Anolis sagrei: one gene and its partner. The protein of the gene in region 2 purifies or fractionates together with the protein of the main gene of each other region. This does not show direct contact. Links are inferred from orthologs where the notes say so. Each region holds a gene or a part of one and is shown on either strand. Other genes may lie near its edges.

Region 1 (7,348 bases), on a different chromosome or scaffold from region 2:
TTTGTAACCCTTTTGGTAATAATGTTGGAGTCTTGTCCCTGGTCAAAGTGGTCCCTGCTAAAAACAAAACAAAACAAAACAAAACAAAACAAAAAAGGTTGGGAACCACTGGTCAAGAGCAATTGTTTAATGCAGGGGTCCTCAAACTGTTAGAGGTCCAGATTATAATTTGAAAAAAAAAACATGAATGAATTCCTATGCACACTGCACATATCTTATTTCTTCTGAGGAAAAAAAAAACCCACTTTAAAACAATACAATAATTAAAATGAAGAACAATTTTTAACAACAAATATAAACTTATTATTTCAATGGGAAGTGTGGGTCTGCTTTTGTTGTTGTTGTGTGCTTTCAAGTCATTTCATACTTAGGTTGACCCTGAGTGAGGGCCGGGTAAATGACCTTTGAGGGCCGTATCCGGCCCCCGGGCCTTAGTTTGAGGTCCCCTGGTTTAATGTTTGTCTATCTTCTAATGAAGCCTGCATCTCTGAATATTTATGACTGAATGGTAAGAGTTATATAACTCCTCCTGAATGTGATGAAGTGTCGGGAGCTGAATAGATCACCTACCAACTATGAAAGCAACTCGGAACATTCATTTGTTCTCTATCAGCTTCTGGTGGGGATTTGGAAAATTACATCGAATGCGCACAGATGAAAATCAAATAGAGACCTGATATTTCGGAAGAGAAACTTTCCCCACAAATTTGGTTTTGCATCTCATAGCTATTTCAAAAATTGTTCCCTCTACAGAACAAACAGGAACTATATTGCAGACTGGATTTGTGAAAGGAGGGAGAACAAAAACAGCATTAACTCACTTTCTAGTTTTCCTGTTAGGAAATTTAAGTGCTATACGATTTTTGCTTCATAGATTTGATGAAACTGGTCATTGAATAGATTCTATAGAGGAGATTAAGTATGCCAGATTGCACGGGTATCAGGAACCTCTGTGTGATAAGTGGTTTAGAGTTGGGAATCTATACAAATAAAAATGTAATGTTCGTTTGTGGGATTAACATAATTCAAAAACCACTGGACGAATTGACACCAAATTTGGACAACATATACCTAACAACCCAATGTATGTCCTTCACTCAAATATTTTTTGATTTTGTCTTTTGGGAGTTGTAGTTGCTGGGATTTATAGTTCACCTACAATCAAAGAGTATTCTGAATTCCACCTATGATGGAATTGAACCAAACATGATGCACGGGACTCCCATGACCAACAGAAAACACTAGAAGGGTTTGGTGGGCATTGCCCTTGAGTTTGGGAGTTGTAGTTCACCTACATCCAGAGAGCACTTTGGGCTCAAACAAGGATGGATCTGGACCAAACTTGGCACGGATATTCCATATGACCAAATACGAACACAGATGGAGTTTGGGGGAAATAAACCCTGACATTTGGGAGTTGTAGTTACTGGGATTTATAGTTCACCTACAATCAAAGAGCATGCTGAAGCCCACCAAGGACAGAATTGGGCCAAACCTCCCACACAGAACCTCCATGAGCAACAGAAAATACTTATGGCCATCCAGTCCAACTCCCTTCACCAGGGCAAGAAAACATAATCAAAGCCCTCCTGACAAAGAGCCATCCAGCCATAGATATAGATAGATATATATGATTCACGGAGCCCCCGGTTGCGCAGTGGGTTAAAGCACTGAGCTGCTGAGCTTGTTGATCGAAAGGTCGCAGGTTCGATTCCGGGGAGCGGCGTGAGCTTCCGCTGTCAGCCCTAGCTTCTGCCAACCTAGCAGTTCAAAAACATGCAAATGTGAGTAGATCAATAGGTACCACTCCGGCGGGAAGGTAACGGCGCTCCATGCAGTCATGCCGGCCACATGACCTTGGAGGTGTCTATGGACAATGCCGGCTCTTCAGCTTAGAAATGGAGATGAGCACCACACCCCAGAGTCAGACATGACTGGACTTAATGGCAGGGGACTACCTTTACCTTTTTATATGATTCACACACAGAGAGATATATAGTATCCTAGATTTGAAAGGGACCCTTAAAGAAGGACAATGATATTTTGCATGTTCCAGAGTGGGCAAACCAGACACTCTCCACATCAACACTGACAAAGAAACAGCAAGAAGTGCTGTTTACCCACAAGCATAAAATCTATTTTATTAGCATAGTACAATATCAGTATTAATTATTACTATATTGTATTAAACCATTACATTGTAACATTATTATTAATATTACATGTAATACAAATATATATTTATAATATCATATTATTAGTAGTGTTATATTGCATTACATTATAATATTATAGATATTATATGTATATATACGATATATTATTTTATATTATATTATATTATTAACATAGCACAGGAGACAAGGTGAATCTATATTAAACTACATTTATTTATTTGTCATGTCAGGGCAACCAGTCAATTATATTACATTTCTAACAGAACAAAGCAAACAAACAGGCAAAATACAAAATTTGTGAGTTTGGTAGTTGATTAAATGTCCTTTGACCAGTATCTGGCCACTTGGAGTGCTTCTGGTGTTGCTGCAAGGAGGTCATCCATTGTGCATGTGGCAGGGCTCAGGGTGCATTGCAGCAGGTGGTCAGTGGTTTGCTCTTCTCCACACTCGCATGTCGTGGATTCCACTTTGTGGCCCCATTTCTTGAGGTTGGCTCTGCATCTTGTGGTGCCAGAGTGTAGTCTGTTCAGCCCCTTCCAAGTCGCCCAGTCCTCTGTGTGCCCAGGGGGGAGTCTCTCATTTGGTATCAGCCATTGATTGAGGTTCTGGGTTTGAGCCTGCCACTTTTGGACTCTTGCTTACTGAGGTGTTCCAGCAAGTGTTTCTTCAGTGGTTCTCAACCTGTGGGTCCCCAGGTGTTTTGGCCTACAACTCCCAGAAATCTCAGTCAGTTTACCAGTTGTTAGGATCTCTGGGAGTTGAAGGCCAAAACATCTGGGGACCCACAGGTTGAAAACCACTGCTGTAGATCTTAGAAAACTATGTCTAGATTTAAGTCGTTGACGTGCTGGCTGATACTCAAACAGGGGATGAGCTGGAGATGTCTCTGCCTTGGTCCTTTCACTACATTATATGAGTCTACACTGACCATCCAACGCGGTTTCACACTGCACTGTTTGGCAGTGTTGATAGCACCAGGATTTCCTCTCTGAAACTTCCCCAAAGGAAGCGACACCCTCTCTTTGGCAAGCTACTTTTCACAATACCGGTGGTCGCACAAGCGCCGGAAGAAAACTCAAACAACAAAACCACCCTATCCCTTCGCCCACAAACAATATTTAAAGGGGCCACGCTTACTATCCTTCTCAACCAATCGCCTCTGCCTTTCCGTACCTTGCCCCTTTAAGGGAAACTTTGCCATGTTTGTAGGCCGGCGACGTCACGAGCCGTCCCTGGCGCATGCGCCCTCCGTCCAGGAGTCTTTTCCCGCCAGCCTTTGGAAGAAGAGAGTTGTTGGTGAGAAGGGGAGAGGGGGTCGCTTCCTCAGGCCGAGGACGTGCTGCTGAGGTAATCCCGGAGGAAGGCAAGGGGAACCTGTATCCTTCCTCGCTCTCTCTCTCTCTTTGGGCCCAGAAATGAGAGGGGCCTCCTCCGCCTGAGAAATACTACAGCTCCTCAGGGGCCTCAGCCAGGAAGACCTCCAACTTTTACCTATTACAGGAAAACCAGCTGATTCCTAATCCATCTAAATAGGCCTGGGCAAACTTTGGCCCTCTGGGTGTTTTGGACTTCAACTCCCAGCATTCCTAACAGCCTCAGGCCCCTTCCCTTTTCCCCCTCAGCTGCTTAAGCCATAACATTTATAGCTGTACATTTCTTATGAAACTGACAGCTGAGCTCCACAAAATTTGTTCCTATTTAATAGCCTGAGATAGTTATTTTAGTTTCATTTTCCCTTAGATCAGTGGTTCTCAACCTTCCTAATGGCGTGACCCCTTAATACAGTCCCCCATGTTGTGGTGACCCCCAACCATAATATTGTTTTCATTGCTACTTCATAACAGTCATTTTACTACTGTTACAAATCATAATGTAAATATCTGATATGCAGGATGCATTTTCATTCACTGGACCAAACTGGGCACAAATACCCAATACACCCAAATGTGAATGCTAGTGGGGTTGGGCGAGGATTGATTTTGTAATTTGGGAGTTGTAGTTGATCTTCTGAAGAGGCCCTGCTCTTGGTCCCGCCTTCCTCACAGATCCAGTTGGCGGGAACAAGAGACAGGGCCTTCTCAGCGGTGGCTCCTCGGCTATGGAACACCCTTCCTAGGGATATTAGATTGGCCCTCTCCCTCCTGACATTTCGAAAAAGAGAAAACCTGCCTATTCGAGCAGGCATTTGCAGACGCAGTATAACTCTTTGATTGATACTCATGGAATGACAAGACGATGTGACGGAAAATGATTTTAATGAGACGCTGAGAATTGTATTTTATGGTGTTAATTGTTTATTGTTTTTACATGGCTATTTTATATGTAATTGTTTTTGAATGTATTTTATCTTGTGGGGCATTGATTGCCAAAAGTAAACCTCCTCGAGTCATCTTTGGGCTGAGAGGGGCAGTATACAAATATAGTAAATAAATAAATACACAAATAGGCTTTTTGTTAATGTTTCCTTTGCCTATATAATGTTACATCTTCTCTTTCTTCTTTCCTCATTAGTTAAATGATGAAAAATAACAAGGAACCATATCTTGTGAAGTTCATCAAGTCTCCAGAGAACTCAGATTTTTTCCTTCAGGCCCTTGAAGTAAGATAATTTTTACATATGTGAGGCGCTCTCTGAAAATAAGACTGAGCCATGTTTGGATGCAGCAAAAATGCCTGATGACTTTTCCTGTTGAAGTTTTTATCTTACAGAAGGCAAAAATATTGTGGCTTTCAGCAGATTTTCCAAAATGAATGCAGAAAAGTTCTCCCTGTCTCCTTCCTCTTTCTTAGCTTCTCTCATGCTGTAGGATGGGTGCAAAGCGAGCAATGGGAGGTATTGGCATTTTAGTTCAGCCAAAACCTATATACTCCTGTGTCATATAGGATTGTGATAATTTAATGAAAATAGCCCAGGGTGCACCTGCTATTTTAAAAATAATAATATTCTATGTGGGGACTAGGACATTAGGCAGTAAATAAAATGTCCAATAAAATGTCTGTAAATAAAATGTCCAATGTCCACTGTGTGTGAGTGGTTTGGGAACTTAAAAGAAAGTACTTCATCTCACAATGTATAGTTAAACTTTTAACTACATTACTAATGAGGATAGCTATACATTCTAGCACCAACAACAGTATACCTCAGTATATCAGTAGCTGAGGAGCATAAACATATGGGTGCATTTTGATTTATGTCCTGTTTGCTGCCTTCTGTGGGCAGTTTGATTAGTCATTGCATGAACAGAATGATAGACTAGATAAATACTTGGCTCTGATCCATCATTGCTCTTATCTAATATGGCTTTTCTTCCATTCTTAACCTTTTCCCTCAGAAGTGCTGGAAAAGTCAATTGAGGCCAACTGTCAGTAGTAGGCAGGCTAGAGCCAACGATGGGCCAAGATTTATGGTCTTGGTACTTATGACTTCCGTGGATTGTGTGGCTCTCTCTTTCCTTGTATCACCCATTTTTCATCTGCTTGTGCACAAATGAAATGGAGGAGTTGTTGATTCCCAGCATTGAGATCTGGGGAGCAGAAGTGGTCCTAAAATATCCAAAGACTTGTGAAGCTGGGGGCTTCATAAATTGACTGCATGGAAGGGTGTTGTAGGCGCAGCCATTGAAGGAGAAAATGTGCCTAATTTTAGATTCAAGGAATGGAGTACAGCAATGTAAATGAGAGCAATTTAAATGACAGTGGTGGAGATATGTAAACATTTAATTTGAGCAGTCTGGCAGCAGAGCAAACATATTCCTTACCATCAGCATTGAAGTGATTTCTTTTTTGTCTTGTCAGGAGCGACTTGAGAAACTGCAAGTCATTTCTGGTGTGAGAGAATTGGCCGTCTGCAAGGACGTTGCCCAGGGGATGCCCGGATGATTTGATGTTTTTATCATCCTTGTGGGAGGCTTCTCTCATGTCCCCGCATGAGGAGCTGGAGTTGATAGAGGGAGCTCATCCGCCTCTCCCCGGATTTGAACCTGCGACCTGTCAGTCTTCAGTCCTGCCGGCACAGGGGTTTAACCCACTGCGCCACAGGGGGCTCATTGAAGTGATGATCATCAACCATTAATTTTGCTAGGCTGGCCATATTGTCTGAATGCCCAATCACTATCTCTCAAAGCAATTACTTTACTCTCAGCTCAAGAGTGAAAAACAGAATGTTGGTGGACAGCAAAAGAGATTTAAAGATGGGTTTAAAGCTCATCTAAAATGTGGAATAAACACTGAGAACTAGGCATTCCTGCCCTCAAGCATTCTAACTGGAGATCAGCTGTTAGCACCAGTGCTATGGATTTGAAAGAGGCACAAATAATCAGCGAAAGGGAGAAACGTGCCAAGAGGAAGGTGCATCAAGGAAACCCTTGTTATGACTGCCTTCCACCTAGAAATGTATGTTCTCACTGTTAAAGACCATAGGGATCCAGAGTAGGTCTCTACAGTTACTTATGGACTCTGCCAAAACTACCCTTGAAAGACAATCATACCCATAAGTGATAGCCTATGATTATAATGACCAGAGCAAATATATACCTTACTATTTATATCAGTTTTGGAGATCTACCTAGCAACGACACAGCAAATTATGATGATATTGAAGATATATTTGCTAATCATGAAATGTCAGTCATTAAGTTGTAATATAAAACCAACAAGCAAGCAGCAGTCAAAATTATTAATGTTAAACTTCTTTCTTACATTGTTATTAATAAAAGAGCCATTTAGCCAATGGTAGGATCAATAGGCTCTGCTAATCTTCATCTGACTTTTAAAAAAAATCCTAATAATTCAATAGTTTCAATTATTTCTTCGTTTCAGAACATTTTTTTCTTTAGCATGGGACCATTTTTCTTTGACCCTATGGTCAACCTCTGGCCTTTCATTTACTATATATATCTGTGGTAAGTTCCATAGATTTCAGTGGAGTTTAGATAAGTTTTGAAACAAATATACATGGTACCAAACTGAGTAGAAGTTTTGAATTTCCTTGCCTTTTTGCTGTTTGAATTCTTCTTACTGTATAGGAACTTTAGCTAAAATAACTTCAGTTATGTATCATTTTTGCATTTGTATTGTTGGAAGCATTCAAAATAACTGAATTAGAAATCTGATTTTTTTTTTTTGCCAATTCAGAGAATATGTTCTGTTGCTTCTGTTTATTTCACAGTCTA
Region 2 (7,348 bases):
GACTTGGCTGTTTGGTTGTGCATTTAAGTAATCAGATCTAATTTGCCAAATAGTCACTGTTGAATGTTTTTATGTTGAATGTTTTTATATTGTGTAAATGCTATTTTAGATTGTAAGTCGCTCGGAGCACCTTGGTGGAGAGCGACTAATTAAGAAATAAAGTGAAGTGAAGTGAAGTGAAGTGAAGTTCAAAGCAGATATTATGGGATTTCCTTCCTTGATATTCTAGATTATATGGCTGTGTGTTAAAATTGCTGGAAGAAACATTAACAACCTTAGATATGCAAATGATACCACTTTGATGGCCAAAAGTGAGGAGAAACTGAGGAGCTTTCTAATCAAGGTGAAAGAAGAAAGTGCAAAAGCTGAGTTGCAGTTAAATATATAGGAAAACAAGATTATGGCAACAAGAATGATTGATAACTGGCAAATAGAGGGAGAAAACGTGGAGGCCGTGACAGACTTTGTATTTCTAGGTGCAAAGATTACTGCAGATGCACACTGTGGCCAGGAAATCAGAAGACGCTTACTTCTTGGGAGGAGAGCAATGTCCAATCTCGATAAAATAGTAAAGAGTAGAGACATCACACTGGCAACAAAGATCCACCTAGTCAAAGCCATGGTATTCCCTGTAGTAACCTACGGATGTGAGAGCTGGACCTTAGGGAAGGCTGAGCGAAGGAAGATAGATGCTTTGAACTGTGGTGCTGGAGGAAAGTTCTGAGAGTGCCTTGGACTGCGAAAAGATCAAACTAGTCCATACTTCAGGAAATAAAGCCCGACTGCGCATTGGAGGGAAGGATAGTAGAGGCAAAGATGAAATACTCTGACCACATTATGAGAAGAAAGGAAAGCTTAGAGAAGACAATGATGCTGGGGAAAATGGAAGGAAAAAGGAAGAGGGGCCGACTAAGGACAAGACGGAGCGATCATATCTAGAAGTGACTGGATTGACCTTGAAGAAGCTGGGGGTGGTGACGGCCAACAGGGAACTCTGGTGCGGGCTGGTTCATGAGGTCACAAAGAGTCGAAAGCAACTGAACGAATAAACAACAGTGGCTGTGTGGAAGGGCCCTGAGTCCACACTGCCATATATCTCAGTTCGAAGCAGATATTGTGGGATTTCCTTCCTTGATTTTCTGGATATTTTTTTGTCGTGTCAGGAGTGACTTGAGAAACTGCAAGTCGTTTCTGGTGTGAGAGAATTGGCCGTCTGCAAGGATGTTGCACAGGGGACGCCCAGATGATTTGATGTTTTTATCATCCTTGTGAGAGGCTTCTCTCATGTCCCCGCATGAGGAGATGGAGCTGATAGAGGGAGCTCATCCACCTCTCCCCAGATTCGAACCTGCGACCTGTCGGTCTTCAGTCCTGCCAGCACAGGGGTTTTACCCACTGCGCCACCGGGTGCTTTGGTGCTATATTCTGGATTATACGGCTGTGTGGAAAGGCTCTGAGTCCACACTGCCATATATCTCAGTTCGAAGCAGATATTGTGGGATTTCCTTCCTTGATATTCTGGATTATGTGGTTGTGTGGAAAGGCCCTGAGTCCACACTGCCATATATCTCAGTTCAAAGCAGATACTATGGGATTTCCTGCCTTGATATTCTGGATTGTGTGGCTGTGTGGAAAGGTCCTGAGTCCACACTGCCATATATCTCAGTTCAAAGTAGATATGGGATTTCCTGCCTTGATATTCTGTTTATATGGCTGTTTGGAAGGGTCCTGGATTCAATAGCACCTAAACTGCAGAACAGAGGGACACTGTTATAGCTCTATGTTCTACTGTAGTTGCCACGGCAACATTCTGTGGCATTCTGGGTTTGGTAGTTCAGTGAGACCCGAAACCTCTTTGGCTGAGCGGGCTAACTATCCCTCGCTTAAACTCAAAATCCCAGCGTCCCACGCGGTGTTGCCATGGCGATGAAAGCGGAAACTAGTCCTGTCACAGCTTAAAGGGATAGAAGAGGACCTGCAATTGAATATGTTGTTACAATTTAGTCAATGAGTGAGATAACGCGATAGTTGAAACAGAACTTCCTCTATTAATATTAATTTAAAAGAAGGCGGCATCGTGTTTTCATAGCAATCTCTTTTGAAATTGGTCGTGAGAGAGAGAGAAAGAGAGAGGGAGGGGGAAGGGCAAAACGCCTTTGTGGGAAGTTTGGCGCCTGTCAGCTCCCGTCCAGAGGGCGGCTTCCCTGCCTAGAAGAGGAAAAGGAGGCGGGAAACGGCACTGAGTCGAAGTGAGGATGGGCGACCAGGGGCTGGAGATGGCCTCCGTGATTCCTGCCCTCCGGGAACTGGGCAGGTAAGCCCCAAACCCTCCAAAACCACCCAAAGAACAGTAGCAACAGTTGCACCTTTGCTGTTGGGTGGTTCAGGGTACACAGTGTGGAAAAATAGAACATTATATGTGACACAGCTGTGGAGGCTTTTAAACAGAGGCTGGATGACCATCTGTCGGGGGTGCTTTGAATACAGTTTTCCTGCTTCTTGGCAGGAGGTTGGACGGGATGGCCCATGAGGTCTCTTCCAACTTTATGATTCTATGGTTTTTGTTCCTGGGTTATAAATGTAATTTCCTAATTCCTAATCAGGAAAACATGGGGAAGCTGCTTAAAATGCAAAAACCATCTCTTTATCTATATAAATAAAAATGTAATGTTGCTTTGTGGGATTAACATAACTCAAAAACCACTGGACGAATTGCTGCCAAATTTGGCCACAAGACACCTACTAACCCAAGGAGTGAGCAACACTAAAAAAATTGATTTTGTCATTTGGGAGTTGTAATTGCTGGGATTTATAGTTCACCTACAATCAAAGAGCATTCCGAACTCCACCAATGATGGAATTGAACCAAACAAGGCATAGAGGACTCCCATAACCATCAGAAAACACTAGAAGGGTTTGTGGGCATTGACCTTGAGTTTGGGAGTTGTAGTTCACCTACATCCAGAGAGCACTGTGGACTAAAACAATGAAGGATCTGGACCAAACTTGGCACGGATATTCCATGTGCCCAAGTAGGAACACAGATGGAGTTTGGGAGAAATAGACTGTGACATTTGGGAGTTGTAGTTACTGGGATTTATAGTTCACCTACAATCAAAGCATTTTGAACCCCACCAACGATAGAATTGGGCCAAACTTACCTCACAGAATCCCCATGACCAACAGAAAATATTTAAGGCCATTCAGTCCAACTCCCTTCACCAGAGCAAGAAAACGTTTTCAAAGCCCTCCTGACAAAGAGCCATCTAGCCATAGATATAGATAGATAGATATGATTCACACACATATAGTATCATAGATTTCAAAGAGACTCCTAAAAAAGGAAAATTATATGTTGTATGATCCAGAGTAGGCAAAACAGACAATCTCCACATCAACACTGACAAAGAAACAGCAAGAAATACTGTTTACCCACAAGTATAAAAAATTACATATATTAGAAACCAACACTTCCTCATTACTTTATTATCCAGATCACCAGACTGAGCCACAGCAACGCATGACAGGGAATGGCTAGTTTACTATATTTATCTACCGCCCCTCTCAGGGAAGTTTACAATCAGCATCAAAAACATAAAATACGATTTAATCAATTAGCTTAAATATAAAACCAAATAAAACAGTCAATGTCAACAAAAACATATATCAATTAGAGTCTCCTTGTTTTTGCGGGACATACTGCAGCACATCTTGCTAGAGTTTTTAAAATGAATATCTCATAGAGTCTCAACCAATGCAACATAGTTTGTGGCAGCCACAAAAATGAAGTTTCTGGAGTATAGCGACAACTTTCAACAGGCGTGGGCAAACTTGGGTCCTCCAAGTTTGTTGACCTTCAACTCCCACAATTCCTAACAGCCTCAGACCCCTTCCTTTCTCCCTCAACTGCTTAATTAAGGAATTGTGGGAGTTGAAGTCCAAAACACCTGGAGGGCCCAAGTTTGCCCATGCCTGACTTTCAAAGTAAGTAGCACACAATTAAACAAGAAATAATGCTTTTAAACCAGAAACTGATTTTTTTTCTATTTTGTTACATAGTGTTGTTATTGTTTATTTATACCCCACTTTTTCTCTCCGCAAAAGAGACTCCCCTTAGCTCAGTATTGGGGTCACGATTTCTAGATGCCACTTAGATATGTACACAAATCTGTTTGCGACAACATATGGTGTTTTACTGTGTAGAAAATGCTTCAGCCTTGCTTCACGAAAAAGGAAAATTTGTCTCCTTAGCAAGCCTTGCAAATCCTGTAAATGTTCGGTATTTATGCTTGTTTTACATACTTGAGGGTATGTTGTTGCTGCTTTTATTTGTATCCTGCTTATCTCACTAAAAAAGAGACCCAAAGTGTCTAACATTAAACGCAATACAATGTATAATTTAAAACATAGAAAGCATACAAACATTAAAATACAATTAAACATTGTAACTATTAAAATAGTTAAAACCATTAGAACCTATTCACATAATATTTCCATTTGGCTATTTGAGGGAAAAGGCAGTTGGAAGCATAGCTGAAGTGGCATTCCCATCTGTAAGAAAGGTTTCTAAGCAAGACGCACAACAACAGTATTAAAACAATTATGCATAACCTACAGATGAAAAGTTGCTTCATAATGTGCTGCTATCTGTTAGCCAGTATATGTGCATGGTTGTGATTGATGAAAATCAAATTGTAAAGCTGCAAACGATGAAATGTAAATGGTCATTTACAAATTAATGCTGATGACATAGACATCCCCACTGCATTACTGGTAATGTAGTGGGGATGTGAAGTGAAACCCATAGTTTTAATTAAAGCCACAATTGATGGAAATGAATGGCTAGATAACTTGTGACATTCAGAGTAACATATGAAAGTAGAGAGACAATGCTAATTGTTAAATACATTAATTCCAGTGCCACCCCAGAGGAATACAATACTGTTGTGCAGAAACCAAGACAAATTCTCTGTCAGTTCATTGATCGAATTCTAGTGGATGTAGATGTTGGTAAGTAAAACAAAACTGTTAAAGAGGCTAGATTTTGAAAAGTTACTTTGTTGTACAGTGTCCAGTGTATAAATTTTGACAAGGTAGCAAATTCTAAATCCTAGGCAATATAGAATATCTAAAAAGTTTATTGAAAAGTAATAATGTGATGGGGAAAGTAAAAGCAAAGATACTTGGGAGGAGAATAGAGGCAGATTTCACCCAGTGCAGGAATCATTCATCTCTTAGAGGTTCTTGGGCTGCAATTCTCAGTTTTTCCTATCATCAGCTATGATGATTAGACCTACTTTGCTGATTAGAACTGCTGGGATTTGCAATCAAGTAACATCTGGAAGACCATCCTGTTCTAGTATGAAAAAAAACCCCAGATTCTGCTGGGTATTATAAATAGTAATATACCAAAAATATCCTTGTCTGGATATTTCGGTCTTTTTCACTGATTACCAAGTAGATGAGACTTTCAAAGGGGAACAGATGCATAGGTCTGCTTTTAAGTCTGTCACCAGTAGTTTGATTCAGGGAAATGCTATCTTAGCACACAATATATATTAAGAGGCATGTTTTCACAAAATGGTATGTATGTATGTGTGATATCAATTTGTTAAAATTTTCCCCAAAATAACACTTCTGGCTTCAGAAGCAACAGATGACACCATTGTTTTTAACAGCAATTTGTGAAGTTAGTCTGTTCGGCCATAACAACAGAGTAGTGAGCATACTTTGGATGCATCTACTCTATAGAATTAATAAATGTTGATAAAACTTTAACAGCCATGGCTCAATACTATAGAATCTTGGATATTGTAGTTTGGTGAGGGACCAGCCCTCTTTGTGAGAGCAGGCCTTGTAAAATTACATCTTCCAGGATCCTAAAGCATTGAGCCATGGCATTTAAAATGGTATCAAATTGCATTGATTCCAAAGTATAGATGCACCCTTTACCTCAGCATCAGAAAGATTTATTCTAGTATCAGCTTTTGTCATTTAGTATCTATTTCAGACGTATGGAGTAAAGGTTCAAGCCGCACACACACACTGGCACACAAAGTATGTCCTTGGCAAGAGAGGAATCAGCAAAATTGGATGTGAACTATCCCAACAGTATTCAAGCATTCTGGCAATAAATTAAAGTAAATGATAGATGATAAGCATGTGTTAATTTACGTATATCTCTGCTAGGCGATTTATTACCTCTTGTGTGGAAAAACATGGTGTTTAACATGTATGAAAAGTGTGAATTTCATTTTCATTGTTTTGCACTTTTACTGAAGAAATGATAGATTTATTTTGAAAAGGAGAATAATATGTGAAATTAGCATAAAGAAACGTGACTGTTTATTTTTCAGTTGCTCTAGAACTTGCTAAGAAAACTGACTCACAGCCAAGTTCTGTAATGTTGCTTGATTTTATACTGCATATTATGAAATCATCCCCGCTTGTATTTGTAAATGTGACTGGAACTTATCAGCAAAATGAAGCAGAAGCCAGCTGCATTGGTGAGTTCATTCAAATATATCTTTGGTATTTTTTTAAATCGGCAAACCAAAAATGATGTTGTAGTAATTTTATAATGGAATAGATTTATGGATTAAAGGAGGTAATAGTGTAATTGATACAGAGAAAGAAAACTAGTGCTACTACTTTAGATTAATGAAGTTTTATTACTGCTCCAGGGAATAGAATACAAAACAGTGGATTCAAATTATAAGAAAAGAGATTCTGTCTGAAATTATAAAGATGTTATTATTATCATCATCATCATCATCAGAGCCATTGGACAGTGCCATAGATGGTCTTGGAGGGTGGCAGACTTGTCTATCTTTGGACATCTTTGAACATGAGTTGAATGGGTGTTTTCAGGGTATTTTAGTTCTGTATTCTTATATGACAAGGATAATGGACAAGATTGCCCTTGCAGCCCCTTCCAATTATTTGGTTTTGTAGTTTGATATCTAAAGGCCTGGGTCACCTGTTGGCGCAGCAGGTTAAACCGCTGAGCTGCTGAACTTGCTGGCCAAAAGGTTGGTGGTTCGAATTCCCGCTGTTAGCTCCAGCCTCTGCCAACCTAGCAGTTTAAAAACATGCAAATGTGGGTATTATTTATTTATTTATTGTCATGTCAGGAGCGACTTGAGAAACTGCAAGTTGCTTCTGGTGTGAGAGAATTTGCCGTCTGCAAGGACGTTGCCCAGGGGATGCCCGGATGATTTGATGTTTTTATCATCCTTGTGAGAGGCTTCTCTCATGTCCCCGCATGAGGAGCTGGAGCTGATAGAGGGAGCTCATCCGCCTCTCCCCGGATTCGAACTTGCAACCTGTCTGTCTTTAGTCCTGCCGG

Evidence for each region.
Region 1: the proteins of ATR (region 2) and TOPBP1 purify together in Homo sapiens (affinity purification with western blotting; 8 studies listed by BioGRID). This does not show direct contact. The link is inferred for Anolis sagrei from reciprocal best matches to the Homo sapiens genes ATR and TOPBP1.

Annotation. Positions count from the first base shown.
Region 1 is NC_090026.1:78,152,464-78,159,811, forward strand, and holds the start of TOPBP1 (DNA topoisomerase 2-binding protein 1), read left to right. Parts: upstream 1-3,422; 5' UTR 3,423-3,524; intron 3,525-4,688; 5' UTR 4,689-4,692; coding exon 4,693-4,776; intron 4,777-7,344; coding exon 7,345-7,348. UniProt on the Homo sapiens protein: Scaffold protein that acts as a key protein-protein adapter in DNA replication and DNA repair. Composed of multiple BRCT domains, which specifically recognize and bind phosphorylated proteins, bringing proteins together into functional combinations.
Region 2 is NC_090023.1:237,161,308-237,168,655, reverse strand, and holds the start of ATR (serine/threonine-protein kinase ATR), read left to right. Parts: upstream 1-1,966; 5' UTR 1,967-2,255; coding exon 2,256-2,314; intron 2,315-4,918; coding exon 4,919-5,010; intron 5,011-6,356; coding exon 6,357-6,506; intron 6,507-7,348. UniProt on the Homo sapiens protein: Serine/threonine protein kinase which activates checkpoint signaling upon genotoxic stresses such as ionizing radiation (IR), ultraviolet light (UV), or DNA replication stalling, thereby acting as a DNA damage sensor.